4 linked regions of the Anolis sagrei genome follow. The protein of the gene in region 4 purifies or fractionates together with the protein of the main gene of each other region. This does not show direct contact. Links are inferred from orthologs where the notes say so. Each region holds a gene or a part of one and is shown on either strand. Other genes may lie near its edges.

Evidence for each region.
Region 1: the proteins of PRKACB (region 4) and AKAP5 purify together in Homo sapiens (affinity purification with mass spectrometry; 4 studies listed by BioGRID and IntAct, counting the BioPlex papers as one, with this or other methods). This does not show direct contact. The link is inferred for Anolis sagrei from reciprocal best matches to the Homo sapiens genes PRKACB and AKAP5.
Region 2: the proteins of PRKACB (region 4) and AKAP9 purify together in Homo sapiens (affinity purification with mass spectrometry; 5 studies listed by BioGRID and IntAct, counting the BioPlex papers as one, with this or other methods). This does not show direct contact. The link is inferred for Anolis sagrei from reciprocal best matches to the Homo sapiens genes PRKACB and AKAP9.
Region 3: the proteins of PRKACB (region 4) and AKAP11 purify together in Homo sapiens (affinity purification with mass spectrometry; 5 studies listed by BioGRID and IntAct, counting the BioPlex papers as one, with this or other methods). This does not show direct contact. The link is inferred for Anolis sagrei from reciprocal best matches to the Homo sapiens genes PRKACB and AKAP11.

Annotation. Positions count from the first base shown.
Region 1 is NC_090021.1:330,256,666-330,264,467, reverse strand, and holds the start of AKAP5 (A-kinase anchor protein 5), read left to right. Parts: upstream 1-4,602; 5' UTR 4,603-4,755; intron 4,756-7,802. UniProt on the Homo sapiens protein: Multivalent scaffold protein that anchors the cAMP-dependent protein kinase/PKA to cytoskeletal and/or organelle-associated proteins, targeting the signal carried by cAMP to specific intracellular effectors.
Region 2 is NC_090026.1:102,885,590-102,893,784, forward strand, and holds the start of AKAP9 (A-kinase anchor protein 9), read right to left. Parts: upstream 3,253-8,195; 5' UTR 3,136-3,252; intron 3,030-3,135; 5' UTR 3,025-3,029; coding exon 2,977-3,024; intron 1-2,976. UniProt on the Homo sapiens protein: Scaffolding protein that assembles several protein kinases and phosphatases on the centrosome and Golgi apparatus. Required to maintain the integrity of the Golgi apparatus. Required for microtubule nucleation at the cis-side of the Golgi apparatus.
Region 3 is NC_090023.1:145,617,772-145,625,273, forward strand, and holds the start of AKAP11 (A-kinase anchor protein 11), read right to left. Parts: upstream 3,085-7,502; 5' UTR 2,866-3,084; intron 1-2,865. UniProt on the Homo sapiens protein: Binds to type II regulatory subunits of protein kinase A and anchors/targets them.
Region 4 is NC_090024.1:155,447,604-155,455,709, forward strand, and holds the start of PRKACB (cAMP-dependent protein kinase catalytic subunit beta), read right to left. Parts: upstream 3,296-8,106; 5' UTR 3,281-3,295; coding exon 3,094-3,280; intron 1-3,093. UniProt on the Homo sapiens protein: Mediates cAMP-dependent signaling triggered by receptor binding to GPCRs.

The sequences.
Region 1 (7,802 bases), on a different chromosome or scaffold from region 4:
AAACACGAAGAAAGTTAAAAACTTGGTATTATACTCAATGTCGTTTAACCAGTACCTGGCCACTTGGAATGCCTCTGGTGTCGCTGTAAGAAGGTCCCCCATTGTGCATGTAGCAGGGCTCAGGCTGCATTGTAACAGGTGGTCTGTGGTTTGCTCTTCTCCACACTCACATGTCGTGGACTGTGGCCCCATTTCTGAAGGTTGGTTCTGCATCTCATGGTGCCAGAGCACAGTTTGTTCAGCACCTTCCAAGTCACCCCAGTCTTCTGTGTGCCCAGGAGGGAGTTTCTCATTCGGTATCAGCCATGGCTTGAGGTTCTGGGTTTTAGCCTGCCATTTTTGCACACTTGCTTGCTGGGGTGTTCCTACAAGTATCGCTGTAGATCTTAGAAAACTATTCCTTGATTTAAGGCATTGGCGTGCTGACTGATATCCAAACAGGGGATGGGCTGGATATGTTGATGCCTTGGTCCTCTCATTACTGGCTGCTACGTCCTGGCAGATATCAGGTGGTGCAATATTGGCCAAATAGTGTAATTTCTCCAGTGGTGTGGGGCATAGACATCCTGTGATAATGCGTCATGTCTCATTAAGAGCCACATCCACTTTTTTAACATGGTGAGATGTGTTCCACACTGGGCATGCGTATTCAGTAGAAGAGTAGCAAAGAGCAAGGGCAGATGTCTTCACTGTGTCTGGTTGTAATCCCCAGGTAGTGCCAGTCAGCTTTTGCACGATATTATTTCTAGCACCCACTTTTTGCTTGATAGTCAAGCAGTGCTTCTTGTAAGTCAGAGCATGGTCCAGGGTAACTTCCATGTATTTTGGTGTGCTGCAATTCTCTAGTGGGATTCCGTCCCAAGTAATCCTCAGAACTCGAGATGCTTGTCTGTTTTTTAGGTGAAACACACATGGCTGCATTTTAGATGGATTAGGAATCAGCTGGTTTTCCCTGTAATAAGTAGTAAGAGCACCTAAAGCTTTGGAGAGATTCTGTTCAATCATTTCAAAGCACCTTGCTTGAGTAGTGATGGCACGATCATCAGCATAGATGAAACTCTGTGCCAATTAAAGTGAGCATTCAAAGCATTAGAAAGAGGGGGAAATAATAGAATCCTAGAACTGGAAGAAACCCCAAAAGTATTGTCGAAGGCTTTCATGGCCGGAATCACTGGGTTGTTGTAGGTTTTTTCGGGCTATATGGCCATGGTCTAGAGGCATTCTCTCCTGAAGTTTCGCTTGCATCTATGGCAAGCATCTTCAGAGGTAGTGAGGTCTGTTGGAACTAGGAAAATTGGGTTTATATATCTGTGGAATGACCTGGGTGAGACAAAGGACTCTTGTCTGCTGGAGCTAGGTGTGAATGTTTCAACTGACCACCTTGATTAGCTTATAATGGCCTGACAGTGCCTAGAGCAAACTTTTGTTGAGGGGTGATTAGATTAAACCCCAAAAGGCCATCCACTTGAACCCCAAGAAAGAATATACAATCAACGCACTCCTGACAAATGGACATCCACCCTCCAATAAAGAACCTCCAAAGAAGGAAATGCCACCACACTAAGGCAGCATAATCCGCTGTTGATTGTGCAACAGGAAGTTTTTCCTAATATTTAGGTGGAAACTCTTCCTGCAATTTGTATCCATTTCTCCATTGCTAGTCTTTGCAGCAGCAAACAAACTGACTGCATCTCCAATATGATGGAGCAATTACATCTTGCAAGAAGCCCTTGGAGATTCCTTTTCAGGAGACTTTTGATAACCTATATATGTGCAGATGCACCCATATATGCACCTATATGGATACATCTACACTTTAGAATGAATGCAGTTTGGCACCACTTTAACTGTCATGATTTAATGCTCTGCAATTATGGGGTGTGCTTTTTTGTCAAGTTCTGTACAGGTAGCACAATAATTAAAAAGTTTCTGGAGCAACTTTGAAACATACTCTCCCCAAAAAAGGAGTTCGTGTGTAGGCGATGGGGCTTGCTATATATAACTACCTAGCTAACGGAGAGCAGAAAATTCATATAACAATTACTTGATTGTCGTTGAGTGTAAAAAGCTTCAGCGACTGTATGTTCCCCTGCATTTTATTTCTATTTAAATATTGTGTTGGAACTGGGAAAACTGATGTTTGCGGGGCCTTCAAGACAAGGAGCCAGGCTGTGCCAAAAGGTCGGTTTCAAGGCACTAATTTTTCACACCATGTGCTGAACCACTAAGGAATAAATCAGAAAATATTGGCAGCCCAAGACATCAGAGAGGTTGCCACTTGTGTGCCTGCGTGATTTATTGCTCTGTTTCTACCCCAGCTTTCATCCTTTGCTCCCTGAAGAAGAGCTGGTAGTAATCATTCTTCTGTGTTACAAATACTCCAACCATTTCCAGAATGAAAACGGCACCGTTATTTATCCATCCTCATTGCTTGCTGTAGGAGCCCCTGATGGTGCAGTGGGTGAACTCTTGTGCTGGCAGGACTGAAGACCGACAGGTCGCATGTTTGAATCTGGGGAGAGCACAGATGAGCTCCCTCTGTCAGCTCCAGCTCCCCATGTGGGGACATGAGAGAAGTCTCCCACAAAGATCGTAAAACATCAAAAACATCTGGGCAATGTCCTTGGAGACAGCCAATAGGATCACAACCTATCGGGGATTATGGATTACGCTGAACTGGATGAATCTTTACCAGTAATTGTAATTGTAAAACCATAGCTAAATGTGTTATCAAAGGCTTTCATGGCCAGAATGGGAGCCCCCAGTGGTGCAGTGGGTTAAACCCCTGTGCTGGCAGGACTGAAGACCAACAGGTCACAGGTTCGAATCCGGGGAGAGGCGGGTGAGCTCCCTCTATCAACTCCAGCTCCTCATGCAGGGACATGAGAGAAGCCTCCCACAAGGATGGTAAAAACATTAAAACATCCGGGCATCCACTGGGCAACGTCTTTGCAGACAGTCAATTCTTTCACACCAGGAGCGACTTGCAGTTTCTCAAGTCGCTCCTGACATGAGGAGCTGGAGCTGATAGAGGGAGCTCATCCACACTCTCCCTGGATTCGAACCTGTGACCTATCGGTCTTCAGTCCTGCTGGCACAGGGGTTTAACTTGTGGACCAGTAAAATGAACAAAATCTGGCTACCAGTATTTTAAAAACTCTAAAATTATAACAGTAAATAAAGAATAACACTCAAACTCAGTGGAACTCCAGACAAGAAACAACCAGGGACAGCTAATCACCCCTCAACAAAGGATTCCCCCCAGGAAGTAACAAGCCACACCTAAAAACTGTCAGGCCACCAAATGCTAATCAAGGTGGCCAATTGAAACATTCACACCTAGCTCGGACAGACAAGAGTTCTTTCTCCCATAATGGATATTCCAGATATATAATTCCAATTTTCCTAGTTTCCAACAGACCTCACAACCTCTGAGGATGCCTGCCATAGATGCAGGCGAAATGTCAGGAGAGCATGCTTCTAGCATGCTCTCCTGACATTTCTCCTGCATCTATGGCAGGCATCCTCAGAGGTTGTGAGGTCTGTTGGAAACTAGGAAAATTGGAATTATATATCTGTGGAATGCTAGAAGCACGCTCTCCTGACATTTCTCCTGCATCTATGGCAGGCATCCTCAAAGGTTGTGAGGTCTGTTGGAAACTAGGAAAATTGGAATTATATATCTGTGGAATGCTAGAAGCATGCTCTCCTGACATTTCTCCTGCATCTATGGCAGGCATCCTCAGAGGTTGTGAGGTCTGTTGGAAACTAGGAAAATTGGAATTATATATCTGTGGAATGCTAGAAGCATGCTCTCCTGACATTTCTCCTGCATCTATTGCAGGCATCCTCAGAGGTTGTGAGGTCTGTTGGAAACTAGGAAAATTGGAATTATATATCTGTGGAATGCTAGAAGCATGCTCTCCTGACATTTCTCCTGCATCTATGGCAGGCATCCTCAGAGGTTGTGAGGTCTGTTGGAAACTAGGAAAATTGGAATTATATATCTGTGGAATGCTAGAAGCATGCTCTCCTGACATTTCTCCTGCATCTATGGCAGGCATCCTCAGAGGTTGTGAGGTCTGTTGGAAACTAGGAAAATTGGAATTATATATCTGTGGAATGCTAGAAGCATGCTCTCCTGACATTTCTCCTGCATCTATGGCAGGCATCCTCAGAGGTTGTGAGGTCTGTTGGAAACTAGGAAAATTGGAATTATATATCTGTGGACTGTGGCCATACAGCTCGAAAAACCTACAACAACCCAGTGATCCTGACCATGAAAGCCTTGGGCAATACATCAAAGCAGGAAATCTAGGATCAGATCCTGGTATATAGGACACTGTAGTGTAGATCCATCCCTAGTTGAGGTGCTGCTGCCTGGACCTTGTGGGGTTTGGGCTCTGGCGGAGGAAGCAAGGGCGCTCCCTGCAGGAGGGTGGCTCTGCTGGGTTGTTGTAGGTGTTTTCGGGCTCTATGGCCATGTTCTAGAGGCATTCTCTCCTGACGTTCCGCCTGCATCTATGGCAAGCATCCTCAGAGGTAGTGAGGTGGCTCTGCTCTCCTTGCCTCCTCCTCCTCCTTCCTTCTTGGTCTCCTCCTCCTCCTCTTCCTCTCGGGAGCCAAGGAGGCGGATCTCAGCGCCGGCGCGCAAAGGCAGGAGGACCCCGAGCAGCATCCCAGGCAGCTCAGCCAAGAAGACTCCGGCAGGAGAGGCCGAGGAAAGGATGGAGAGGAGAAGCCGGGGAGCAGCAGGTGAGCAGGACATCGGTGTGGGCAGGGGAGCGGGAAGAGAAAGGACCCATGATTCCCACTCAATTCTTAAAAGAAGGGTGGGAAGAGAGGCTTGGGAAGCGTGGTGCAAGGGCGCGCACACATCCATCCACACACACTCAGAGACAGATCTATAGCTTGGGGAGAGATGGCTCTCTGGCGTGCAAAGCTTGGGGACGCACACACATAGATCCACACACATATATAGGTTGGGGGTAAAGTCACCCAGGGTCTGATGATTGAGTGGACTGGTCTTGGGCGCCATTGAAGGGTTTGGATTTTCCACACGCGATGCCAATGCATTCCCTCCTCTGTACGCCCGTATATAGGGTTGTAAAGGAAAGACGCAACGTAAATAGAGGCAGCATTCAATCTTTGTGACTTCTGTATGTGTGTGTGTATATATATGGAGAATCATAGAGTTGGGAGAGACCTCATGGGACATCCAGTCCTGTCCAACCCCCTGCTAAGGAACAGGAAAATCGCTTCTTGGCAGGGGCACTCCAATCTATCCACATACCTTGAGACAAGCACAAGAGGCAGGTGAGGGAACGGGGTTGCCAAGGCAAGCGATGGGGCAGGTGCCTTGGGTTGGCCAGGGAGGAAAGGGTGCAAGGCTGAGCCTGTGGGGTGTCTTGCCCAAAGGGAGAGGGGCGAAGAGGGGGCGCAGAGACCTTTCTGGTGCCAAGGGCGCATCCTTCTGCCTCGCCTCTCTCTCTCTCAATCTCTCTTTCCCTCTGCGCCAGGGCTTCTCTTCCTTTGGAGGCCGGGGAAATGGCTCTGGTGCCTTGCATCTGGGAGAAAGGGGCCTGCCCCGCTTCCGTGGGGTGCTCTCCTGCTTCAGTAAACCCCTCCCGAAGTCAAGGGAGGGAGGAACTCACAGCATCCAAGGGAGGAATCATCAAGGAGAGTGAGGATCACTATGGAGAGGGTGGCGCCTCCTGAGGAATAGGGTGCCTCTCTTGAAAGGGGTCAAGAAAGGGGTTTTGAGGGGCGGGAGAGTTTCCTCCCTTGTTGTTTCTGCAGCCCTTGAAGCCCTCCCTCACTCCCTTCCCTTTCAGCCTCAGTGGCCCTTCTGTAAAATAGGTTGAGCCCTTTTTTACGCAGGGTGCGCTTTGGAGAGATGGAGAGGAGACAAGCAAAGGGCGCATCCTAGGCAGAGAAGTTGTGCTTGTGTTGCCTTCAAGGCTGCACATACACCACTGGTTCCCAACCTTTTTTTGACCTAGAACCACTTGACCTGGGACCACTATGACCAGGGTCCACTCTCCAACATTCGAACCCAAAGAAGTGGTTCCCAACTTGTGGGCCGTGGTCCACTGGTGGGCCGCGAGTCCTAAAATAAAGTCAATGGTTCTAAATTATTAAATATGGTTTTCTGTGGGCAAACAGATGGCTGGACTGCTGGATGGCATGTGTTCTGTATGAGAAACCAGAGCTGATGTAGTCTATCCAATGCAATTTTCTGAATCAGCACCTCAAATAACCCCCAGAACAGTCCTAAAAACAATGACACCAAGAAAAATATTTTGTTGGTTGGGCTATGTTATTATTAGTGGATTTTGTTAACACTTGTGTTAAAAGGGGAGAGGGGACTAAGATTGAAAAAAACACAAAAAGCAGAGCGCAAGACCCAAGAAACTGTCCCTAATGGTTGCTTTAACAACTACTACTACTACTACTTTGGGGAACTTAACAGGGTCTTACAGGGGCTGTTTTCCCATTACACCTGATGTGTAGCAATGGGAGCTAATGGTTGTTGTTATTATTATTATTATTATTATTAATAATAATAATAATAATTTGGGGGATTAAATAGGGTTTTACAAAGGGCTACTTTCCCATCCATCTCTTGTATTTGACAATGGGAACTAATAATAATAATAATAATAATAATAATAATAATAATAATAATAGCAACTTTGGGGGACTAAACAGGGGCTTGAAAAGGGCTGCTTTCCCATTACAATTCATGTGTGGCAATTATTTAAATTTATTTATTTAAAACTTTTATATCCCAATCTTCTCTACCTCCGTAGAGGGACTCAAACAGGCAATGGGAGCTGCTGCTGCTTCTTCTTCTTATTATTGTTATTATTGTTGTTATTGTTGTTGTTGTTATTATTATTATTATTATTATTATTATTATTATTACTTTAGGGGACTCCCCTTCTCTCTCTTGATCTCCTCCAACAGTGCCAGGGAAGCTGTGAGAACGGTCCTGGCTTCCTTCCTTCCTTCTTTCTTTCTTTCTTTCTTTCTTTCTTTCTTTCTTTCTTTCTTCCTTTCTTTCTCTTCCTCTCCTTTTCTCACACTCCTCCAATACCAGCACACACCCCTTGCTGCAGACCTGTGAGCCATGGCCCATGGGTTGGGAACCACTGATCCACACTGTAGAATGAATGGAGTTTGGTAGCACTTTAACTCCCATGGCTCAGTGCTTAGGAATCCTGCAAGCTGTAGCTTCCCAAGACCTTTAGTCTTCTCTGTCAAAGAGTGCTGGTGCCCAACCAATTTGAGGATCCTAGGATTCCCCAGTTGAGTCATGGCAGTTAAAGTGGTGTCAAGTTGCATTAACTCCATAGTATAAATGCACCTCAAGTCCAGTCTGACCCTATGCGTGGTTTTTCTGAGGCTGAGAGGGTGTGACTTGCCCAAGGTCACCCAAGGGGTTTGCTAGGGTCCGGATGCTGTGGGCTGCAGCCCTTTGTTTCCTCTGCCTGGAAAGAGTCCTTCCTTCTTGCTGCAACTGCAAAGCTCCTGGAGCACTTTATGCATTTCCAAGAGGCTGGAATAGCAGCGACATGTGCAGTATGTATGGAATGATGACAGGCAGGCTGTTGGGGAGGGAGTAATTGGGATTTTGGGTCATTGTATGTATTGTCGAAGGCTTTCATGGCCGGAATCACTGGGTTGTTGTAGGGTTTTTTCGGGCTGTATGGCCATGGTCTAGAGGCATTCTCTCCTGACGTTTCGCCTGCATCTATGGCAAGCATCCTCAGACCTCACTACCTCTGAGGATGCTCGCA
Region 2 (8,195 bases), on a different chromosome or scaffold from region 4:
AGAAACACACCAAAACATTCTGGAAAAATTATTTACAGAAATACTTTACATATAATAATAAGTCTTTTTAGAAATTGCGGGCAGCCAGAAAACTGAACAATGGTTTAAAATTATTGTGTAGAATGCCCTGTTCATTAATGAAGTATATATACTTGCTTGCTTATCCAGACATTTTTAAAACCCATTAAGTATCAAATATACTATAATGTATGACACAAGGTGTCTACAAATAGATTCTATCCCTTAACTGAGGGGGGTGGATCACAAGAATCAGATATACAAATGTTAGTCTGCTTCTATATCACGTGGTACAAGGGCTGGGGGTGGTGCCGCAGGCATGCCTGACAGCCCATTGTGTGGAGGAGAACTTGCATGGTGGCAAATCTCACACTGCATTTCTTAGAATTGTGTTACTTTTGGCCTATAGTGTTTCTAACTATGCTGTCTGCATTGCTGTTTTATTCTGACTGCATTGCACTTCTGCTCCAATGCCTGAGAAGGCTGAGATTCATACATTCTTAATACCATTCATTCCTGTGAGAGCTATGCACACATGCGACCTCCAAGAAGTCTTTTTCACCTCCAAGAAGCCTTTTAAAGATCTCTTAATCAGATTGTCTGATTCTGCAATAAGAAGAATCACCGCCACCAGTTGGCACCTGTGGCATTTTCAAGGCATGCACTTGTGTCTCTGTCCAGCAGCAACAGCTGTCAAGAGCCAATCGCATTACAACACATACAGGCAAGTAAGCAAGCGCCTTGTTCTGCAGCTTTTCATTTTCATGAGAAGGTGGACCCCGGTATACCGATTAGCATTACCACCACCTCCAGCATATACGCACAAAGAAAGAGCCCCAAACAAAGAAAGCGCAGCACGGGAAAGATGCCAAGGCACGCCTCTCTCCCTCCTACAATAACACAGGTCTACAATGGGGAAAAAACTCCCCCTTCACAAATATTGATATATTTTTGGGGTGATGAGTTAGAAAAATACAATAACAATGCCATATCACATGAGACGTCTTGTTACAAATTTCAACAACATTTAGTCACAGCTCAAACAAAAATAAAAATGCAATCAAAACGTCATACCACCCAACACTTTGTCCACAAATTTCAACACCAGTCACAATCCTGTCATAAAAGAAACACCAAAATGCCGCACCACAGGTTTCTTTTACAGGTGTCAGTCCCAGATGACAATGAAAAAACCCAAACAACTTGTGGGGAGAAGAAAATTCAATACTATCGTAACTCCAGCTGGCAACATAGGTATATCAAAGCAAGTTGTGTATGGAATAAGCTTATACATAATGTCACAAACCTAAGATCATTTGAGGGGACTCTGAACCTCAAATTCCTACAAAACCCAATATAAATGTTTTAAATGTCATGACTCAATTTTGCAGTGAAACAATTCTCAGAGCTATGGATGCAGCTACACCAGATATAGACAAACTTCAGCCCTCCAGATGTTTTGGACTCTAACTCCCACAGCTGGTAGACTGTTAGGAATTGTGGAAGTTGGAGTCCAAAACACTTGCAGGGCCAAAGTTTGCCCATGCCTGATCTACACCATAGAATGAAGGCATTTTGACAGAAGTTTAACTTAATGCTATGGAATTTTAGGATGTGTAGTTTGGTGAGGCATCAGCCCCCTTTGACAGAAAAGGCTAAGGATCGGAGACTAAAATGATCAAGGGTCTGGAGAACAAGCCCTATGAGGAGCGGAGCGGCTTAAAGACCTGGGCATGTTTAGCCTTAAGAGAAAGCTGAGAGGAGACATGATAGCCATGTATAAATATGTGAGAGAAAGTCACAGGGAGGAGGGAGCAAGCTTGTTATCTGCTGCCCTGGAGACTAGGACGCGGAACAATGGCTTCAAACTACAAGAAAGGAGATTCCATCTGAACATTAGGAAGAACTTCCTGACTGTGAGAGCTGTTCAGCAGTGGTACTCTCTGCCCCGGAGTGTGGTGGATGCTCCTTCTTTGGAGGTTTTTAAACAGAGGCTAGATGGCCATCTGTTAGGAGTGCTTTAAATGCAATATTCCTGCTTCTTGGCAGGGGGTTGGACTGGATGGGGTCTCTTCCAACTCTATGATTCTATCTTTTGGAGGTATTTTGAATGAATTTTACTGCTTCTTGGAAGGAGGTTGGACGGGATGAGGTCTCTTCCAACTCTATGATTCTATCTTTTGGAGGTGTTTGGAATGAATTTTACTGCTTCTTGGAAGGAGGTTGGACGGGATGAGGTCTCTTCCAACTCTATGATTCTATCTGTTGGAGGTGTTTTTGAATGAATTTTCCTGCTTCTTGGAAGGAGGTTGGACGGGATGAGGTCTCTTCCAACTCTATGATTCCATCTGTTGGAGGTGCTTTGAATTAATTTTACTGCTTCTTGGCAGGGGGTTGGACGAGATGGCCCATGAGATCTCTTCCAACTCTATAATTCTACGATCGAACTACAACTTCCAAATTCCCACAGCACTGAGTTAAACTGGTGTCAGAATGCAATCATTATATTACATGGACCGGTAACCTTGACCCTCTCCTCTCTTCCTAGGTATCGAGGATGCATCTGCACTGGAGAAATAATGCAGTTTAACACTTCAATTGCCATGTTACCATACTAGAGAAATGTGGTGTTATAATTTTGCAATATCAGGCATGGGCAAACTTGGGCCCTCCAGGTGTTTTGGACTTCAACTCCCACCATTCCTAACAGCCTCAGGCCCCTTCCTTTCCCCCCTCAGCCGCTTAAGCCGCTTAAGCGGCTGAGGGGGAAAAGGAAAGGGCCTGAGGCTGTTAGGAATGGTGGGAGTTGAAGTCCAAAACACCTGGAGGGCCCAAGTTTGCCCATGCCTGCCTGACATCCTTCCACAACACTGGGTCATGACAGTTAAAGCTCTGTCAAACTGTACTGATCCTCCAAAGTCGCTTCAGGCCTTCCTCTCCTCCGCCTCCAGTCCTTACCTTGGCCTTGCCAGCCTCCAGCTTCTTCTGCCTCTCCTCGTCCTCCATGGTCCCTGAGGCGGGAAAAGAGAGAGACCACAGTGTTTATTATGATTATGACCAAAGCCGTAAAGGGAGGAAGTGGCCCTGAGGGCCCCAAAACGAGCGTCTTTTCTTTACCCGTCTCCCCCCGCAGTCACACGCGAGAGAGGCCAGCTCTGCCCGGCTACGAGGAGAAGAGCAAGCTCTGTGGCGGACCCACCGGCGCCGCCATCTTCGCCTCCACGTAAACACGCGGCCGGGGAAAGTGACGTCACGGGCCCAGCCCCGCCCCCAAACGCCTCCCGTTCGCTGCCCACCTGAAGGGAGGCTGTTCCTCCGAGCGGCGGGAGGGAGCGCGGCAACGGGGACAGCCGTTGCCATAGCACCGCCTTAAAGAGCTTCGCGTCCCTTGGCAGACCCCCAGGGTGGCTTTTCTTTAACCTTGGGTTTATTTTCGGTGTCACGCAGTTTGACACCGCTTTAACACCGCCATGGCTCAGTGTTGTGGTGTAATGGGAGTTGTAGTTTTACTAAGGACGCTTCTGCACTGTATTTTGACACCCCTGTTACTGTCAAGAGAGTTCTAGTTTGGTACTGTTCCATAGTTTTACCATGAGAGCAGTAGCTTTACTTAGAAGTTGTAGTTTGGCCAAGGATAACATCCTGGGAGCTGTAGTTTTACTAAGGGCGCCTCTTCACTAGAATGCATGCACTTCGACACCCCTGTAACTGCCAAGAGAGTTCTAATTTAGTATTCTTCCATCGTTTTACCAAGAGAGCTGTGGCTTTACCTGGGAGTTATAGTTTTTTCCCCCAAGGATAACATGGGAGTTGTAATTTTACTAAGACCGCTTCTACACTGTAGAGCGAATGCCCTTTGACACTCCTTTAACTTCCATGAGACTGTTTTATCAAAGGAGCTGTGACTTTTCCTGGGAGTTATAGTTTTCCCCCCCAAGGATAACATGGGAGTTGTAGTTTTACTAAGTGCGCTTCTACACTGTAGAGTGAATGCCCTTTGACACTCCTTTAACTTCCATGAGAGTTCTTGTTTAGTACTGTTCCTTAGTTTTACCAAGAAAGCTGTGACTTTGCCTGGGAGTTGTAGTTTTTGCCAAGGATAACATCCTGGGAGTTGTAGTTTTACTAAGGGTGCCTCTACACTGTCGAGTGAATGCACTTTGACACCCCTTTAACTCCCACAAGAGTTCTAGTTTAGTACTGTTCCTTAGTTTTACCAAGAAAGCTGTGGCTTTACTTGGAAGTTGTAGTTTTTTCCAAGGATAACATGGGAGTCGTAGTTTTACTAAGAGCACTTCTACACTGTAGACTTTTGACACTCCTTTAACTTCCATGAGAGTTCTTGTTTGGTATTGTTTTATCAAAGGAGCTGTGACTTTGCCTGGGAGTTGTAGTTTTTGCCAAGGATAACATCCTGGGAGTTGTAGTTTTACTAAGGGTGCCTCTACACTGTAGAATCCATGCACTTTGCCATCCCTGTAACGGCCAAGAGAGTTCAAGTTTGGTACTATTGCATCTTTTTACCAAGAGAGCTGTGGCTTCACCTGGGAGTTATAGTTTTTTCCAAGGATAACATGAGAGTTGTAGTTTTACTAAGAGGGCTTCTACACTGTAGAGTGAATGCCCTTTGACACCCCTTTAACTTCCACGAGAGTTCTAATTTGGTACTGTTCCATAGTTTTACAAAGTTTTACCATCCTAGGAGTTATAGTTTTACTAAGGGTGCCGCTGCACTGTAGAGTGAATGCACTTTGATACTCTTTTAACTGCCACAAGAGTTCTAGTTTTACCAAGGGAGCTGGAGTTGTATATTATTATTATTATTATTATTAGAAACACAACAAGACGAGTCCACAGCAAACAAGATAACTTTGCTGGTTGTTATATTGAATCACACGTCGGACATTTCCCAAGTGTCTAGGACTGTGTGATGTATCGGCGAGTAATGCATGCAGATCCCAGTAAGGTGGCCTTTTGCAGCTGGCAGATGGTAATTTTGTCAGCGCCAGTTGTGTTTAAGTGCAGGCCAAGGTCTTTAGGCACTGCACCCAATGTGCCGATCACCACTGGGACCACCTCACAATTAAAAGTATCACAATACAATTTAAAATATACAATATAAGGCATTAAAGCAGTATTAAATGTCATTGGTATTTAAAACAATTCAAGTTAAAACCATAAAAGCATATAAAGGTGTTACCAAGGGTAACATCCTGGAAATTGAGGTTTTGCCAAAGTTCGCACTACATTGTAGAATTAATGCACTCTGACATGACTTGCACACACTGCTGCCGTGGCTCAGCATTGAGCCATGGCAGTTAAAGTGGTATTAAACTGCATTAATTCTACACTGTGATGTACTCAAGGACTTGCAAAACTTGCAATAGGATAATGTGGCTTCAGACTGTTCATCGCAGTCAAGTTCCTTCGTCTGTGAACTGTGACATTTTCTAGAACACTGGCCATCTTATTCTCTTAGAACAAAACAAACAAAGATTATTGTGGCTCTATAAATACCAATGTTAATGGCACAACATTTGGTGAACTATAGGGCATCTTTTTTCATTAAAATCTGTACCATAATAATTGTTTTAGTTTTCAAAGAGCTACAAGGCCGCTTGTTGTTATGAGGATGTGGCAATAATAATACCAAGTTATTTGTTGCTCATGATTTTGAATCACTTTTCAAATGAAAAGTTATGTTTGCCGTTCTGCAAAACTATTTTCCTAGTAATACCAATCTATTGAGGCCCTGAAAGATGGTCTATAAGTAAAGGTCCTTAATTAATTTGTTCAATCGATAAATAAAACCCACGGTTTGTGTGAATCACAACCTGATCTTATGAAGCCAATTAATTCAGTGACTAAGTGTGCTTAATTTTGCAGAAGATTAGCCTGTTAAATTAATGGGATTGAATTACTGTCATTAGAATGAATTTTAAATGATTGCACAAGAACCTTTGTTTGAATCATTTATAGAAACACTTTCTGTTTTAATTGAAGGAGCAATCTATATCCCCTTTATAAAATTGGTTACTATTGGTTACTATCTGTTTACTTGGAGGAGAATATCTCCTTTGGTTACTATCTGTTTACTTGGAGGAGAATATCCCTCTTGCACACAGATAAATAAAGTAAAATCAATATCTAAAACAGAATAATACACTTTTGCTGTTATTTTAAGTTTTCAAAACTGTCCCATTTTCAGAGGAGCAAGATTTAATTTTACACTTACAATTCACATTTATTGGCTGTGAAATATTTCTGATTATTTTGTTTGCTCAGAAAATGAGATTCTGAAAGGGAATTGAAAAGTTTGCCTAGAGGCCTATGTCTAGAAGTGCAGTGCTATCCTAATAATATAATATAATATAATATAATATAATATAATATAATATAATATAATATAATATAATATATTGTATATACATATAATATTTATAATATTATAATGTAATTCAATATAATAACAATATGATATTATAATTATATATTAATATGTGTAATATTACTAATAATATTATGTTATAGTAGTATGGTGCAATATAGCTATGTTTAATGCTGATATTGTACTATGCTAATAATATAATATTGTATGTAATATATACCTTGTAAGCCGCTCTGAGTCCCCTTCGGGGTGAGAAGGGCGGCATATAAATGTTGTAAATAAATAAATAAATAAACCTCCATCACATGATGATCAAAATGCCCATTGCCAGGGGGTCCAAAATTCATACAGTTGTGTCCATTGCTTTCCACACCTCTATGATATATGTATGCATATTTGAGTACATGTAAAAGTAAAGGTTTCTCCTTGACATTAAGTCCAGTCGTATCCGACTCTGGGGGGTTGTACTCATCTCCATTTCTCAGCCAAAGAGCCAGTGTTGTCCATAGACACCTCCTAGGTCATGTGGCCAGCATGACTGCATGGAGCGCCGTTACCTTCCCACCGAAGCAGTACCTATTGATCTACTCACATTTGCATGTTTTCAAACTGTTCGTTTGGCAGAAGTTGGTGCTAACAACGGAAGCTCACCCTTTTCACGGATTCAGACCACTGACCTTCTGATCAGCAAGTTTTGCAGCTTAGTGGTTTAACCCACTGCACCACCGTGGCCCCTTGTGTACATATCAACACACTAAATTAAAGCATAAGGACCTGACAATATGTTGTTGGAGAAGCTCTTTTGCTCTAGCCATTTGGAAGATAGCAGCTCAGCTTAGAAGGAATTACGAGAAAAATTAAAATATATCATTGTCTCTGCTAATCAAGAAGTTCCAAGCCCTGACTTGAGTCCCTATATTGGGAAAAAGGCAAGATAAAACAAAGTAAATAATGAATAAAATAAATAAAAATATTACGTTGCTGTTTGGATCCGAAAAAAAGAGGATAAAGAGGGTCTGAAGGCAGAAAGGCTAAGGAGCAGGAAGATAAAGAAGCATGGGAGATAAAGAACAGGCTAGAGTATGCAGACTTTGAAATGTAGGTCATTCAGGGAACGCTAGACAGAAGAAACAGAATGGACAAAGAGCAAAGAGGATAGAAAAAGAATGAATAAGGAAGGCGATTTTGTAAATTATGCATTAGGACTGAAAGAGCTCTCCATGAATGACAGGAAAAGTGGGTGGGAAATAAGCAAAAAGTGCTGACAGGCACTATAAAGTATTGACTGTGGATGTTAAGTTTTCTCTAAGATGAAACTTATGGCGGCCAAAACGAATGTAATACCATATCAGTCATGGGGAACTTATTTCACCATGCAAGTGTTCCACACATGCCCCATGTATAAAACTATTTACTAGGTGATTCATTCTTTTTTTCCAATTCCATTTAATATTATTTCTAAAACAGAAAAAGAAAACATCGTAATAACTTGATAAATTATAATTTTGCAAGCTAAGTGCATTCATCAACACATTTAGCATTCCTGTGCTCAGCAAATTAAGAAGACATGGCTATAGCATGCGAACTGCACATGTAAATAGATTTGACTCTTTATGTGTGAAATATTCAGAGAAGACTTTGTCCATGAACCACATCACATTATTCTAAAGGAAGCTGTCTTAAATCACATGATTGCTCATTATATTGAGTTATCATTGTCTGGCTCAATTAATATACTGGTCGTCCCTAAGTTACAAACATCCGACTTACAAATGACTCATAGTTAAGA
Region 3 (7,502 bases), on a different chromosome or scaffold from region 4:
AGGGTGGGAGAAAGAACTCTTGTCTACTTGGGGAGAGTGAATGTTGCAATTGTCCACCTTGATTAGCCTTGCAGCTTCAAAGCCTGGCTGGTTGCTGCCTGGGGCATCCTTTGTTGGGATATGTTAGCTGGCCCTGGTTGATTCTTGTCTGGAATTCCCCTGTTTTTCAGAGTGTTGTTCTTTATTTCCTGTCCTGATTTTAGTGGGGTTTTTTTCCATACTGGTAGCTAGATTTTGTTTATTTTCATGGTTTCCTCCTTTCTATTGAAATTGTCCACACGCTTGTGGATTCCAATGGCTTCTCTGTCTGTATTATTATCTATCTATCTATCTATCTATCTATCTAAATGCTCTGTTTGTTTTGAGTGACATCATAACTCAAAATCTGCTGGACGAATTGCCGCCAAATTTGGCCACAAGACACCTACTAACCCAAGGAGTGACCATCACTAAAAAAAATGATTTTGTCATTCGGAAGTTGTAGTTGCTGGGATTTATAATTAACCTACAATCAAAGAGCATTCTGAACTCCACCAATGATGGAATTAACCAAACGTCACACACAGGCCTCCCATGACCAACTCCCTTCACCAGGGTAAGAAAACGTAATCAAATCCCTCCTGACAAGGAGCCATCCAGCCATAGATATAGATAGATATATATGATTCACACACACACAGATATAGTATCCTAGATCTGAAAGGGACTCCTAAAGAAGGACAATTATTTATTTATTTATTTATTTATTTATTTAAAGCATTTATATTCCGCCCTTCTCACCCCGAAGGGGACTCAGGGCGTAGCACAACATATAAACTGCAAACATTCAATGCCGAAACATATTAGACCATACACATGCAAAAGCATTAAAACCACTTATCTTGACATTAAAATCCACTACTTAAAACTGTCTGAACAACCATATCAAATTTGGTTGGCATACTAAAGGTTCCTATCGCTGCTTCATTGCACAGTCCCAAACGTGCACAGTCTGCATGTTCCAGAGTAGGCAAACCAGATAATCTCCTCATCAACACTGACAAAGAAACAGCAAGAAATACTACTCACCCAAAAGCATAAAGAAATTACATATATTAGAAACCAACACTTTCTCTTTACTTTATTTTCCAGATCACCAGACTGGGCCATAGCAATGCATGGCAGGGGACGGCTAGTTATTATTATCTATATAAATAAAAATGTAATGTTTGTTTGTAGGATTAACACAACTCAAAACCCACTGGACAAATTGACACCAAATTTGGACGGCATACACCTAACAACCTAATGTATGTCCTTCACTAAAAAAAAAAATTGATTTTGTCATTTGGGAGTTGTAGCTCCTGGGATTTATAATTAACCTACAATCAAAGAGCATTCTGAACTCCATCAATGATGGAATTGAACCAAATGTGGCACACAGGATTCCCATGACCAACAGAAAAGACTAGAAGGGTTTGGTAGGCATTGACCTTGAGTTTGGGAGTTGTAGTACACTTATACCCAGAGAGCACTGTGGACTCAAACAATGATGCATCTGGACCAAACTTGGCACGGATGCTCCATATGCCCAAATATGAACACAGATGGAGTTTGGGGGAAATAGACCCTGACATTTGGGAGTTGTAGTTACTGGGATTTATAGTTCACCTACAATCAAAAAGCATGCTGAACCCCACAAATGACAGAATTGGGGCAAACTTCCCACACAGAACCCCCATACTTAAGGGCATCCAGTCCAACTCCCTTCACCAGGGCAAGAAAATGTATTCAAAGCCCTCCTGATAAAGAGCCATCTAGCCACAGATAAAAAGGTAAAGGTTGTCCCCTGACATTAAGTCCAGTCGTGTCCGACTCTGGGGTTTGGTGCTCATCTCCATTTCTAAGCCGAAGAGCCAGCGTTGTCCATAGACACCTCCAAGGTCATGTGGCCAGCATGGCCGCATGGAGCGCCGTTACCTTCCCGCCGGAGCGGTACCTATTGATCTACTCACATTTGCATGTTGTCAAACTGCTAGGTTGGCAGAAACTAGGACTGACAGCGGAAGCTCACACCACTCCCTGGAATCGAACCTGCGACCTTTTGGTCAACAAACTCAGCAGCTCAGTGCTTTAACCCACTGCGCCACCGGGGGGGCCAAGATATAGATAGATATATATGATTCACACACACACACACAGATATTGTATCCTAGATTTGAAAGGGACCCCTAAAGAAGGACAATTATATGTTGCATGTTCCAGAGAAGGCAGACCAGACAATCTCTATACCAATATTGACAAAGAAACAAGAAGAAATACTGTTTACCCACAAGCAGAAAGAAATTACATATATTAGAAACCAACACTTTCTCGTCACTTTATTTTCCAGATCACCAGACTGGGCCACAGCAACGCGTGGCAGGGGACAGCTAGTTGTTATTATTGTCGTTGTTGTTATTATTACTAAAGTTGTATCCTGAGGCGAAGCTGTGAGACAAGCTGTCAGAGGCTGTCAGACTCTGTTCCTTCGCGGGTATTGGACTTCAACTCCCAGAAGCCTTGGCTGCCTAGGCCGACGCTCAGGGATTCTGGGAGTTGAAGTCCAAAACGCCTGGCAGCCCGTAACCCCTTCGTGGCCGAAGCAATTGGGAGTTGACTCCGGCCCCAAGCGACCTAAAAACGCCTCAACGGCCCGCCTCAGAAATCCTTCCTTTGGGCATTGGTCAAGTATTAACCTTCCCTGGGCTGTGTGTGTGTGTGAGAGAGAGATAACCCGTGAGGGAAATGGGGCGAAGAGGCATGCGGGGCCTGACAGGCCTCCTTCCTTCGGCCGCCACCATTGGGCTCCTTTCCCTTCGTCTTTCTGAGGGGCCGCCGCCTTACCTGCCGCCGGCCAATTGCCTCAGACCTCCGCCGCGCCCTCCTCACCGCAGCCCAAACCACCTCGCCGCCGCAGCTGGGGCCCCTTCGCCACTTCCTCTCGCGAGACTCGTGGCCTCCATCCCCAACTGCCTCTCCGGACGGCGGCCGCCGCGGCCCCCTTCAGTCTCCATCTGCCGCACGCGCCCCCGCCGCGTCGCCTGACGTACCGCGCATGCGCAGGAGCGCCCTTGAGGTGCCACTGCCAGGGCCCGGGCTGAGGAAGAGGACACACCTGGGGCCTTCACTGCAACACGTTACAGCAGGCTTGGGGCAAAACTTGGGCCCTCCAGGTGTATTGGACTTCAACTCCCACAATTCCTAACAGCCTCAGGCCTCTTCCTTTTCCTCCTCAGCCGTTTAAGGAAGAAGCCTGAGGCTGTTAGGAATTGTGGGAGTTGAAGTCCAAAACACCCGGAGGGCCCAAGTTTGCCCCATGCCTGCGTTACAATGTTAGTCCTTAAAAGACCAACATTTCATTAATATCAGCAGATCTGTGTGCAAAGTAACATATATTAGAATATTATATGATATTTCTAGGTGCAAAGATTACTGCAGATGCAGACTGTGGCCAGGAAATCAGATGAAATCTTCTTGGGAAGAGAGCAATGTCCACTCTAAATAAAATAGTAAAGAGCAGAGACATCAGACTGGCAACAAAGATCTGCCTAGTCAAAGCCATGGTATTCCCTGTAGTAAGCTACAGATGTGAGAGCTGGACCTTAGGGAAGGCTGAGCGAAGGAAGATCGATGCTTTTGAGCTGTAGTGCTGGAGGAAAGTGCTGAGAGTGCCTTGGACTGCGAGAAGATCCAACCAGTCCATCCTCCAGGAAATAAAGCCCGGCTGCTCACTGGAAGGAAGGATACTAGAGACAAAGTTGAAGTACTTTGGTCACATCATGAGGAGACAGCAAAGCCTAGAGAAGACAATTATGCTGGGGAAGGTGGAAGGCAAAAGGAAGAGGGGCCAACCAAGGGCAAGATGGATGGATGGCATCCTTGAAGTGACTGGACTGACCTTGAAGGAGCTGGGGGTGGTGACGGCCGACAGGGAGCTCTGGCGTGGGCTGGTCCATGAGGTCACGAAGAGTCGGAGACGACTGAACGAATGAACAACATGATATGCCAATGGTATTGATTCTATATCATTATAGAGTGGCTTTCAAAATCTAGGCCAGGGATCTTCAAACTTTGTAAACAGAGGGCCAGGTCACAGTTCCTCAAACTGTTGGATGGCCGGATTATAATTTGGAAAAAAAAACCATGAATGAATTCCTATGCACACTGCACATCTTATTTGTAGTGCAAAAAACACTTGAAAACAATACAATAATTAAAATAAAAAATTTAACAAATATAAACTTATTAGTATTTCAATGGGAAGTGTGGACCTACTTTTGCCTAATGAGATAGGATTGTTGTTATTGGTGTGTGTTTTCAAGTAGTTTCAGACTTAGGTTGACCCTGAGCGAGGGCCGGGTAAATGACCTTGGAGGGACGTATCTGGCCCCTGGGCCTTAGTTTGAGGACCCCTGATCTAGGTTATCTGAGTCCTCATTGCCATATTCCCAGGGCCCTTCCACATAGCCCTTTATCCCAGAATATCAAGGCAGAAAATGCCACATTATCTGAGTGTGGACTTAGATAACCCAGTTCAAAGCAGATATTGTGGGATTTTCTGCCTTGATATTCTGGTATATAGGGCTGTGATCGGAGGTCACCCGCCCCCCCACCCACCCCTACCCCACCCCCGGAATTCTGAACAAATAGTTCAAAATTAGGGAATTCATAGTTTTGCCAAGGGCATCAGGCTGGAATGATCCCATAATCCCCTATCTCTCCTCCTGTTTTTATGAATGGACTCCGACTACTCAGTGCTCCCCTGAACTTCCATGCACCCACCCCCATGAACTCTTATGTGTTCATATGAACTTTCATGAAATTTATGGGAACTTTTATAAACTTTTGCCAAACATTATGAACTTTTATGGGCTTTTGGGGGGCTTACATGATTTCCCCTTAGACCCTGCATGATTCCCCCTCCCCCCATAAACTCTATGTATGCTCCCATACCCCCATCCCCTGCATCTATGTATGTCTATTAGGCCTGTCGGTTTTAGTTCGTTAATTCGTTATTTCGTAATTTAATCGTTATTTTTACCATATCCGACGCGATTTCAAAACATATTTTCAAACCCGGAAGGGTTTAAAAATATCGAAACAGCAGCCCCATTTTTTTTACGAGCTTCAGCTCGTCTCGTTAATGGGATGGAGGCTGCTGTGCTGCTGGTGCCTGGGAGCCAATCCGGCGCTCCCAAGCACCCAGCAGTAAATGGGGCGGGCGGGGTGAAGGGGCGGCGCGAGCAACACAGCTGGGAGGAGGAGGAGGAGGAGGAGGGCGCAGCAGCCGGAGCCGATTGGATGGCGTGCGCGCTCCTGCGCCCTCCTCCTCCTCCTCCTCCTCCTGGCACTTCCTGCAACACAGCTGGGAGGAGGAGGAGGAGGAGGAGGGCGCAGGAGCGCGCGCGCCATCCAATCGGCTCCGGCTGCTGCGCCCTCCTCCTCCTCCTCCTCCTCCCAGCTATGTTGCAGGAAGTGCCAGGAGGAGGAGGAGGGCGCAGCAGCCGGAGCCGATTGGATGGCGCGCGCGCTCCTGCGCCCTCCTCCTCCTCCTCCTCCTCCTCCTGGCACTTCCTGCAACACAGCTAGGAGGAGGAGGAGGAGGAGGAGGGCGCAGGAGCGCGCGCGCCATCCAATCGGCTCCGGCTGCTGCGCCCTCCTCCTCCTCCTCCTCCCAGCTGTGTTGCAGGAAGTGCCAGGAGGAGGAGGAGGAGGGCGCAGCAGCCGGAGCCGATTGGATGGCGCGCGCGCTCCTGCGCCCTCCTCCTCCTGGCACTTCCTGCAACACAGCTGGGAGGAGGAGGAGGAGGAGGAGGGCGCAGGAGCGCGCGCGCCATCCAATCGGCTCCGGCTGCTGCGCCCTCCTCCTCCTCCTCCTCCTCCCAGCTATGTTGCAGGAAGTGCCAGGAGGAGGAGGAGGAGGAGGAGGGCGCAGCAGCCGGAGCCGATTGGATGGCGCGCGCGCTCCTGCGCCCTCCTCCTCCTCCTCCTCCTCCTCCTGGCACTTCCTGCAACACAGCTGGGAGGAGGAGGAGGAGGAGGAGGGCGCAGGAGCGCGCGCGCCATCCAATCGGCTCCGGCTGCTGCGCCCTCCTCCTCCTCCTCCTCCCAGCTGTGTTGCAGGAAGTGCCAGGAGGAGGAGGAGGAGGGCGCAGCAGCCGGAGCCGATTGGATGGCGCGCGCGCTCCTGCGCCCTCCTCCTCCTCCTCCTCCTGGCACTTCCTGCAACACAGCTGGGAGGAGGAGGAGGAGGAGGAGGAGGGCGCAGGAGCGCGCGCGCCATCCAATCGGCTCCGGCTGCTGCGCCCTCCTCCTCCTCCTCCTCCTCCCAGCTGTGTTGCAGGAAGTGCCAGGAGGAGGAGGAGGAGGAGGAGGAGGGCGCAGGAGCCGGAGCCGATCGGATGGCGCTCTTGCTGTGAGTTTTCAGGCTCTTTTGCTGTGAGTTTTCAGGGCTGTATGTATGACCATGTTCCAGAAGCATTCTCTCCTGACATTTTGCCCACATCTATGGCAGGCCTCCTCAGAGGTCTGTTGGAAACTAGGCAAATGGAGTTTCAGTTTATCTATGGAATGTCCAGGGTGGGAGAAATGAAAGCCATTCAATGCTAATCAAGGTGACCATTACTGCAACATTCACACTTACTAGGCCTGTTTGATCAAGAAAAAATTTGTTTCTAAAATGTTTTGTAAATATTTACGAAATTTCGTAAATAACAAAACATTTTTTTGGAAAGTTTTGTAAATATTTTAAATATCGAAACAAAAAAACACCCCAATTACAAATCGATTTTAGAAACAATTTTTTTCTTGATCAAACAGGCCTAATGTCTATATTAGAAAATATTAAGGAAAACAACCTTTACATGATCCAGCAACTCATGGCTCTTGGAGTTTCCAAACTTCCTGGGCTGATAGTCCCCTAAAAAAGGACTCAACCAGATCCATTTGCATGGACAATAAGTAAATGGCTCTATCTATCTGGACCTCGGAGGGCTGATAGCCAGGCCATCCAGAACAATGGAGTCTATGGACATACTGGATCACCCAACACAAAAAAAAATCTCTCCATCTGTGAGGAACCCGGGGATTTGTCATCAACCTCCCTGCTGTGCCACATCCTGTTCTCCCGAAACTAGCATCAACTTCATCAATGAACTCCATATCACAGGACAGTGTGACAAAGAACCTAGCCTCTCAGGGCTAGATAGGAATGTTAATTCACAGAATCAAACAATAACCTAGGCCAGTCTTGAGAGCCTAAAGCTATCACCCAGCCATTTGGCAAACACCAGTCACCTTAATCCAGTCAACTAGACATTTCTTCATTGTTTCCCTGTTGCCCACCTCCCACTTCATTGGCTGAGCGGCCAAAAGCAGGGTCAGAGCCCTCACTGGGTCTCCTCCTGGCTTGCTGATGTCACAGCCAATCATAACAAAGCCAGCTCAAGGGGGGGGGGGCATGGAAACTTTTGAATCTGAAG
Region 4 (8,106 bases):
TCACAATCTTGTTCACATTCATAATCCTTAAAAGGCTAGCTCTGAAACTAGTGGCAACTCTCTCACTTTCCTTCTCTCACTCCATACCTGCATGTTTATATTCCTGGCAGGAGCCATCAAGGGCACTAATCTTGAACATAAGCACGTTTTACCCAGTCTGTTGGAGTTCTAGGCAGAAGTTAAAAAAAAAAAAAACCCCTGCAAGAATCCAAAATATCTGTGAAATGCTTTCCTCGAATGCTTTTTTTTTCATTTTGAGTGCCCATTTTCCTCTAAAAAAACAACAGGCCACAACATTGACATCATTTAATCCTGGCAGCCCCAGATAAACAGAAATATTTCAGTGGCAAATACATTAAATTAGACACAAGAGCCCAGCCTTCTCCTTTGTGATTTTTAAATTTTGTCCTGAAAAATTTAGAAGATTGTGATTTTTACCCATTTTTACATTATTTTGGTGGATATATATACACCGGGATTTCTCCCAGGAAAACATCTGTAATTTTCTTGTTAAGCTATTTCTCACGAACATCAATTTCTGACAAAGCAATGGAGAAAAGAAGGAAGCATGTAAAATCTCCAGAAATGGCAATAAATTCCAAAATTCCAATGCTGTTGTGTTGGTATGCAGCTAATAAGGTAAGATTAACATGGCCCAATCTTCTGCATCGCCGAAAGAAACAGCTTTTCATTTTCAGACCCCCAAATGCCCCAACCTATTACCAAGTCAATATAGAGTTTATGGTAGGGTATGGCATTGAGTATAGTATTAGTTAAACCTACCTTTATTAGTAATTCTCAAGCAACCAGAAACTATGCTTATCTGGCATTGACCATCCCCATGGATGTTGGATAACTGCAAGTCTACTATATAATCAATTGGTTATTTTAAAATAACATTGACAAATGTGTATATGTAAAAGCATTACCCTTATTGTTCATAACTAATTTTAATGTAAATGTAAACATATTGGGCAGAGGTTTGGTTCCAGGACTCCACATGGACACCAATATTTATAGATGTTCATTTCTTATTATGTACAGTGGCATTGTAAAATGGCAAAATTGGGGTTTGCTTTTGGAAATTTTATTATTTTTAGGAATATTTTTGAGCCACAGTTGGTTGAATCCATGGATACTGAATCCATCGATAAGGAAGGCTGACTAAGTTGTTCCAAACCCAGAACGAAAACCAAACAAACTCTCAATTCTCTGTAACAGAGTTTGACCAAAGCAGAATCTTCTTTATTTTGGTATATAAAATTAAAGCAAAAAAATGAAAGGTATCAATATACCTACATCTATAAATAAATAGGTGTAAGTGTTTACATTCTCAAATCTGTAATGAAAATATTATGGTTGCGTATTGTCAATATTATAGTCAATAATGTTGCTGTATGCCTTCAAGGCATTTCTGACTTGTGGTGACCCTATCAAGGGGGTTTTCTTGGTGAAGTTTGTTCAGGGATGGTTTACATGGACTTCCTTACATGGCCAATTGGGAATTCAGACCCAGGTCTTCCTATAGCCCTGTTCAATGTTCAAACTGCTATGTGAGGCTGGATTATCAATATTGTATAAAGTACTTTCCGTGACACTGTGGTTTAAAATTTGAATATAAAATATTACATTAAGAACCACTTCTGTGAAGAGCTTTCACTGCCTTTCACTCTTTCTCTCCCTCTCTCAAGCTAATTTATATCTCATGATTAGAGTAAAGCTAAAGTGACATTGTACTCCTTTGAGGAATGATATAGTAATTGTAGCAAACTAAATTTAGAACAAAATAATCTGGTAAACAGCAGCACTTTGTTTTGGAAAGTTAATGCATTTTAGTTAGCTTGGAAAACTACTTTTTTAAGAGTAGTCTTTATAATTTCAACGTAATTAGTAACAATTATATGATTAAAAGACAAAAAGTATTCATTGTACTTTTTGAATTTTCAAAAACAACAGCAGAAAATACTTTAAAAATACAAACACACAAATATTTAAAACCTCTGGTCTGTAGTGCAAAACACCATTTTCCCTGGGAGCTTCTTGCTTTCTTAAGAGCCGTAATACAACAAAAGGTAGCTGCAAAAGTACAACATGACCCAGCGTTGAAACTATCTGGCCATTTAGTAGATACAATCTTTTGACTATAAAGTAATGCTGCAAAAGGAGTGATGCTAGTAAGTTGCAAGTGTAGTTTAGCTATAATTCTGTTACTATAATCGGAAACTTGGGACCCTTCCACACAGACAGAATATCAAGGCAGAAAATCCCACAAGATCTGCTTTGAACTGGGTTATCTGAGTCTACACTGCCATATATTCCAGTTCAAAGCAGAAAATGTGAGATTTTATTGAGCTGTGTGGAAGGGGGCTGAGTTACAAATAACTAATTAATTTGAACTACATGCTGCCAAATCCTGCTTTTACTTATATTTTAATGTGTTATTATGAAGCAGTTGTGGTTTTAAAATATCAGCGAATGTAAAAGGAAAACAAATATCCAAACCAGTCAGATGTCATTAAGAGACTTGGTTCAATCTATAGATTTTTTAAAGTGTAATAGCAGAAAATATAACTAAGGTCTTCTAAAAAATTAAAGGTAGATTGGCTGGCTGTATAGAACAAGAGGAAATTTACTGGCTACAACCCTGGTTACCCCATTTTCCACACTGTACCAGTATTGCCCATTTGGGGCCCTAAATGGAAAAAGTGATTTCTATGTGACCTGCTTCAGTACATTTGCCATCCTTGTTGGACTGAATGTCCATTTGTTAGATCATGCTCCCTCCTCTGAAAGTTATAATATAAGGTAAGTGAACAATGAAAGGCCAGGATCGTATTGCTTTAGAAAGACAACTTGAAAGAAATGTGCATTTAAACGTCAAGGTAAAATCATGTAAAAGAATAAATTGACAAAAGGAAGTCTGATCATTAATTTTACTCCACCACCAGCAAGTGTTTCAAGAAACAGAACTACAGACTTGGATCCACCTGCTGATCATTTAACAGGCCAGTTTGGCTGTCAACATTTTTCTATATTTAGTATGCCACAGTTTAAAACTTGCCATTACAAACCAAGTAACCTCCACACACTTACTTGATCTCTCCCACAGTGCAGCGAGTTCAGAGAAGTGCGGAGACTCATTTTCCTGAGCTGCTTTCAGTTCGTTGGAGGAACCCTTGGAGTGCCTGTGAAAAAGCCTGTTGGCAAATCCTTCCAGTCTCTGCAAAGCATTTGCAGTCCCTGTGCTTGGGTTGCCCTGTAACTCCTTCTGAGCAGCCATCTATACACATTTAGTTTGTGTGTTAAAAGAAAGAAATAACTCCAAACTTAAGAATTCAACTTCAAAGCCAAGTGCTGTGCATGTGTCAGACTTCCTGTATGCAGTGCGTTAGCCACAACTGTTGTTCTGCTTCCTGTTAATATAAAACCAACTTCAAGAGCTATTCTCAGGCTCTCGATATCAGCTCAGTGTGGTGACGGGGGGGGGGGGGGGCAACATGACTTGTTTGCGTGCTTTCCCTCTTTCCCAAACAAGCCACATGATGTTGAGAACAAACACACTTGTTAAATTCAAAAAGGGCACTAGAAAACTGATTATGCAGACATCTATATGCATAAACGGATATTATATACCTAAAAGAGTTTGTGTTGAATTTTAACTTTTGGAAAAAGTTATTATCCATATTAAATCATACAATGGGCTTCTGCTACATATAGTGTAAGAAGGAGAAATATATTTTGAACAATCTGGGGAATGAATGGAATGCTTTTATGTCAACTTACTCAAAAGGCTACAAACTGTATAGTATGAAGATTTTATGTAAAATAATCTTTAGACTCCTCCATGTACATCATTCAGATCTGAGAAGCCCATATTTGTGATGATACAATGGACACTTGGTATCCACTGGGTTTGGTTCCAAACCCCATATGGATACCAAAAATTGGGGGTTCTCAAATTCCACTACATACAATGGTATAGTAATGTTTTTAATCCATGGGCGATTAAATCTATGGATGAAGAACCTACGGATACAGAACCTGTAGACACAGAGAGCTAACTGTATACACTTCTGAAGAGCTTATGACTTTCAGCATATTACAAGTCCATTTCAAAAAGTGTTAATGTATGAGCCTGTTTCTCTCCAAATAATTCACTTTATTTCATTACATAATATGTGGTTTCTATTTCCTCCTATTTCTCATATAGCAACAATCAAGATAAAGTACCATAGTTTGCAACTCTCTCTTTACTATAGCACATATTCATATTTCAACTTACAGAATACATGTATTCATCTTTTCAGATGTGATAAATATTGAACAAATAGTAGAATTTTATATAAGTTACTGAAAGAATTTTAGGAGCTTTCTATGTACTCAAAACTGCATAATTTCACTGGGCATACACAGTGAAGATGATATCTGAGCAGACATGTACAAGATTGCACTGTAAGTAAATTTGTTCTAATCTTGTAATTTTGCATGGATTTAGAACCAGCATGGTGTAGTAATTGCACATTAGAGTACAACTCTGGAGACAAGTGTTTGTATTCCTGCTCAGCCATGGAATCCCACTGGTGATCTTGGGCAAGTCACACACTCTCAGTCTCAGAAGGAGGCAAAACAAATCCCCTCTGAATAAATCTTGCCAAGAAAACCCCACCATAAGTTGGAAACAACATAGATTAGACACAACATCATGGCGCACAACAACAGCAACAACAACAACAAATGGTCAATAGTGCAAATACCTAGCATAGTTATCAGCAGAGAACACTAAACAGATATCGCCTAATGAATGCCTGGAGGAGGTAATGGGCTGGATGAGGAAAACACAATTGAAACTGAATCTAGACAAAACAGAGGTGTTTGCAATCAAGGACCTTAATCTGGGGTGGGGGTATGTTAACCAGTTCTGGATGGGGTTACACTCCCCTTGAAAGACTCTGCCCGCAGCTTGAGAGTGCTTCTGAATCAGTGTCTTCAAATATCAGGAGTACTATCAACTTTGTCTGATCCTCCAGCTGCACCCCTTCCTAGATTTGGAGGACCTAAAGATGGTAGTGTATGCGCCGGTAACCTCAAGGTTGGACTTCTGCAATGCGCTTTACATTGGACTACCCTTGTACCAAATTCGGAAACTCCAATTAGTTCACAATACAGCAGCCAGGAACATCCAGGAGTGAGCATATTATACCTATCCTAAAGTCACTCCACTGACTGCCAATTAGTTTCCAGGCAAAGTACAAAGGGTTGTTTTTAATCTTTAAAGCCCAGATTACCTAAAGGATCGCCTTCTTCCGTACAATCCACCCTAAACACTCAGGTCCTCTAAGGGGCGGCTACTCAGCCTGCCAGAACCTGACTGGCGACCATCACCCAGAGGATCCTTTCATCGGCCACCCCACAACTGTGGAACAACCTGCCAGAACAGCTCTGACAGAGAGATTAGCTGTCACAATTTAAAATACACTTGAAGACCTCTCTTCCAGCAGGCTGACCCAACCAGTTTAATTCATAATTTTTAAGCTTGCATGTTATGTTTAATCTTTGTTCTGTATATTTTAATACGTATTTTGTAGAAATATATTTTATATGTGTATTTTGTAGAATGTTTTTAGATGATTGTGTGTTTTAGAAATGTTGTTAGATGAAGTGGAGAGGGACAACTGCTGTTTAAAGAAAAAAAACAAAGTTTTTTTAAAGTGTGTATGCTCCTTAAGGTCTTAGGAGTGTCTAAAGTAGCTCTTTCAATCCCTGCTTATTACTAAAATCAAATAAAACATTAAAAACACAATTAATGCAAAAGAATGCTAAAATCAATTCAGGACTAACCATACCCTGTATCTCGCCAACAGAGCTTTTTAAAGCCATTGAGGAAGTCTTTCTTTAGCAAGAGAGCAATGTAAAGATGAGGCAGCAATGTTTCTATAAATAACAACGCCCAGAGGAAGTTGTTGCTATGGCAGCGCTGGCCACATTTCTATTTTAAATTCAGAAGATATCTGCTGGCATCTGCTGTTCAAAAGGTAAAAATGCAGTATACAAAGTTATCCTATTCAGTATACAAAGTTATCCTCAAAAGTAATTTGTGCTAGAGGAAAGAATTTTTTAAAAAATACAATGTACTAGGCACTTGGGCTGGGATCCAAAATTGGATACAGAATTGGAAGGCATAGTAAGGGATACCAGAGAGTCCTTCAATCCTCAAAGAGAGACATTTTCAGGGGGTGTGAGAGAAGGAAGAAGCAGGAAAGCTTTTTTCCATGAAAGGAACGTTATGTTCAAGGAATGGAAACTGGGGTGTTTTTTTTTCATGATAAAAAATGAAAAATACAGTATGAGTCACAGTGCAATTAACACAGAAACTTCAGCAAAAGGCTCAATGTATATAGAAAAGCAGCAGTCAAACAAAGGTCAGTGCAAACATTTAACCATATCCAGTCCCAGCAAAAACTTTTAACAAGTGCAAGATCTTTCAGCTATGTGCAGATGTAGCTGCACCATAATATTGAATAAAATCCCCTAAAGAGATCTACTACTACCATATTAACCAGTTTTTAGGTTTCCCAAAGTTTCGGGTGCATCAGTGCATCTAGGATTCCAGCAGTATCAACTGATTAAATATCCATCCATCCTTTTAGTTATATCCTGTGTTTCCCCTAGGCGGGGACTCAAGGCAACTTGCAAAAAAGACACACTAAATCCATATAGTTAAAAAAAATCTTAAAACAATACTGAATATTAACATAATTAAAACGAAATGGTCCATAACTCCATAAAAATTGGGGAAAATGTACAAAAACATGCAAAATAAATGTTGGAAAAGTGAAACTCAAGAGAGCACTTTCTACCACATGTGGTGGATGTGTAGCAAAGCAAAAAAATATTGGAAAGAGATTCAAGAAACATCTCAAAAAATCCTAAATATAAAAATAGAAATGAAATTAGAATATATTTCACCAGGAATAATGGACATAAATATAGATGAAAACAAGGATGGACTATTCAACAATTTAACAGCAGCAGCAAGAATAGTCTACGCAAGTTGTTGGAGAATAAAAGAAATACCCTCAGTACAACATTGACTAATAAAAGTGATGGAAATTATGAATATGGATAAATTGATGCAATTATTGTCAAAATACCAAGGAAGTCCAAAGCAAAGAATGGATTAGCAATTGTTTAAAGATTATATGACTCAAGAGAAAAAAAGTTTGAAAATATAAAACAATCTAATGTTTGACAGGAATTTTCCTGGAAAGGATGGAATAAAAAGGAGAAGCAAATTGGGGGGGGGGGGGGGGGAGACTGAGAATAAATATAACCACTACGAAGAAGATCGGAAGTCAATAGACTCTCCACTCCCATCCCCTTTTCCCTGCATCTACCCTTTTCCTTTCTTTCCTTGTTTCCCCCTATATTTCCATTTCCCTTCCTCCCCAGAACCCAACAATACCTTCACCTTACGTACCCCTAACCCATAGTGTTTCTTTTTATTATAGTGTTTAAAATATTACGTAAAATTTATACTGTAACGAAGCGTTAATCCCACCGCTTGTCAACCAAAAATGTAACGAAGCGTTAATCCCACCGCTTGTCAACAAAAATGTAAAGAAGCAGCGCTAATCTCACTAGATGCCACCAAAAATTATGTGAGGAAGCATCAATCTTCTTTAATGCCACCAATATTCTGTGAGGAACCTTCTTTTAAATATCTATTAAGCTGCCACCAATATGTTTAGAGACGCTGGTTTATGTCTCTGTTTATCTTTAGTTGGGTTGTGAGGTGATTTTGGTAGTGTGGAATGCACCAAGCATAACAGCAATGGAGGAGGCAGGTTTGAAATAAAAAGAGAACAAGTTTTATTGTTAACAGAACGTAATTGTTGCAGTTTTGAGAGTTTGAACTTGGCACAAGGCTTGATGTTACAAAATGGCTGGTTTGAGATACTTTCAGGCTTCTGAATGTTACAAATCTACAAACTCCTTCTTTAGTGAAGTGCTTATACTATTCCAGAGTTCCCTATTGTGAATGTCCACACTGTTTGCCCTATACTCGGAACAAACCACTGATCACCAGTCTTTCCTTACTGGCGATCC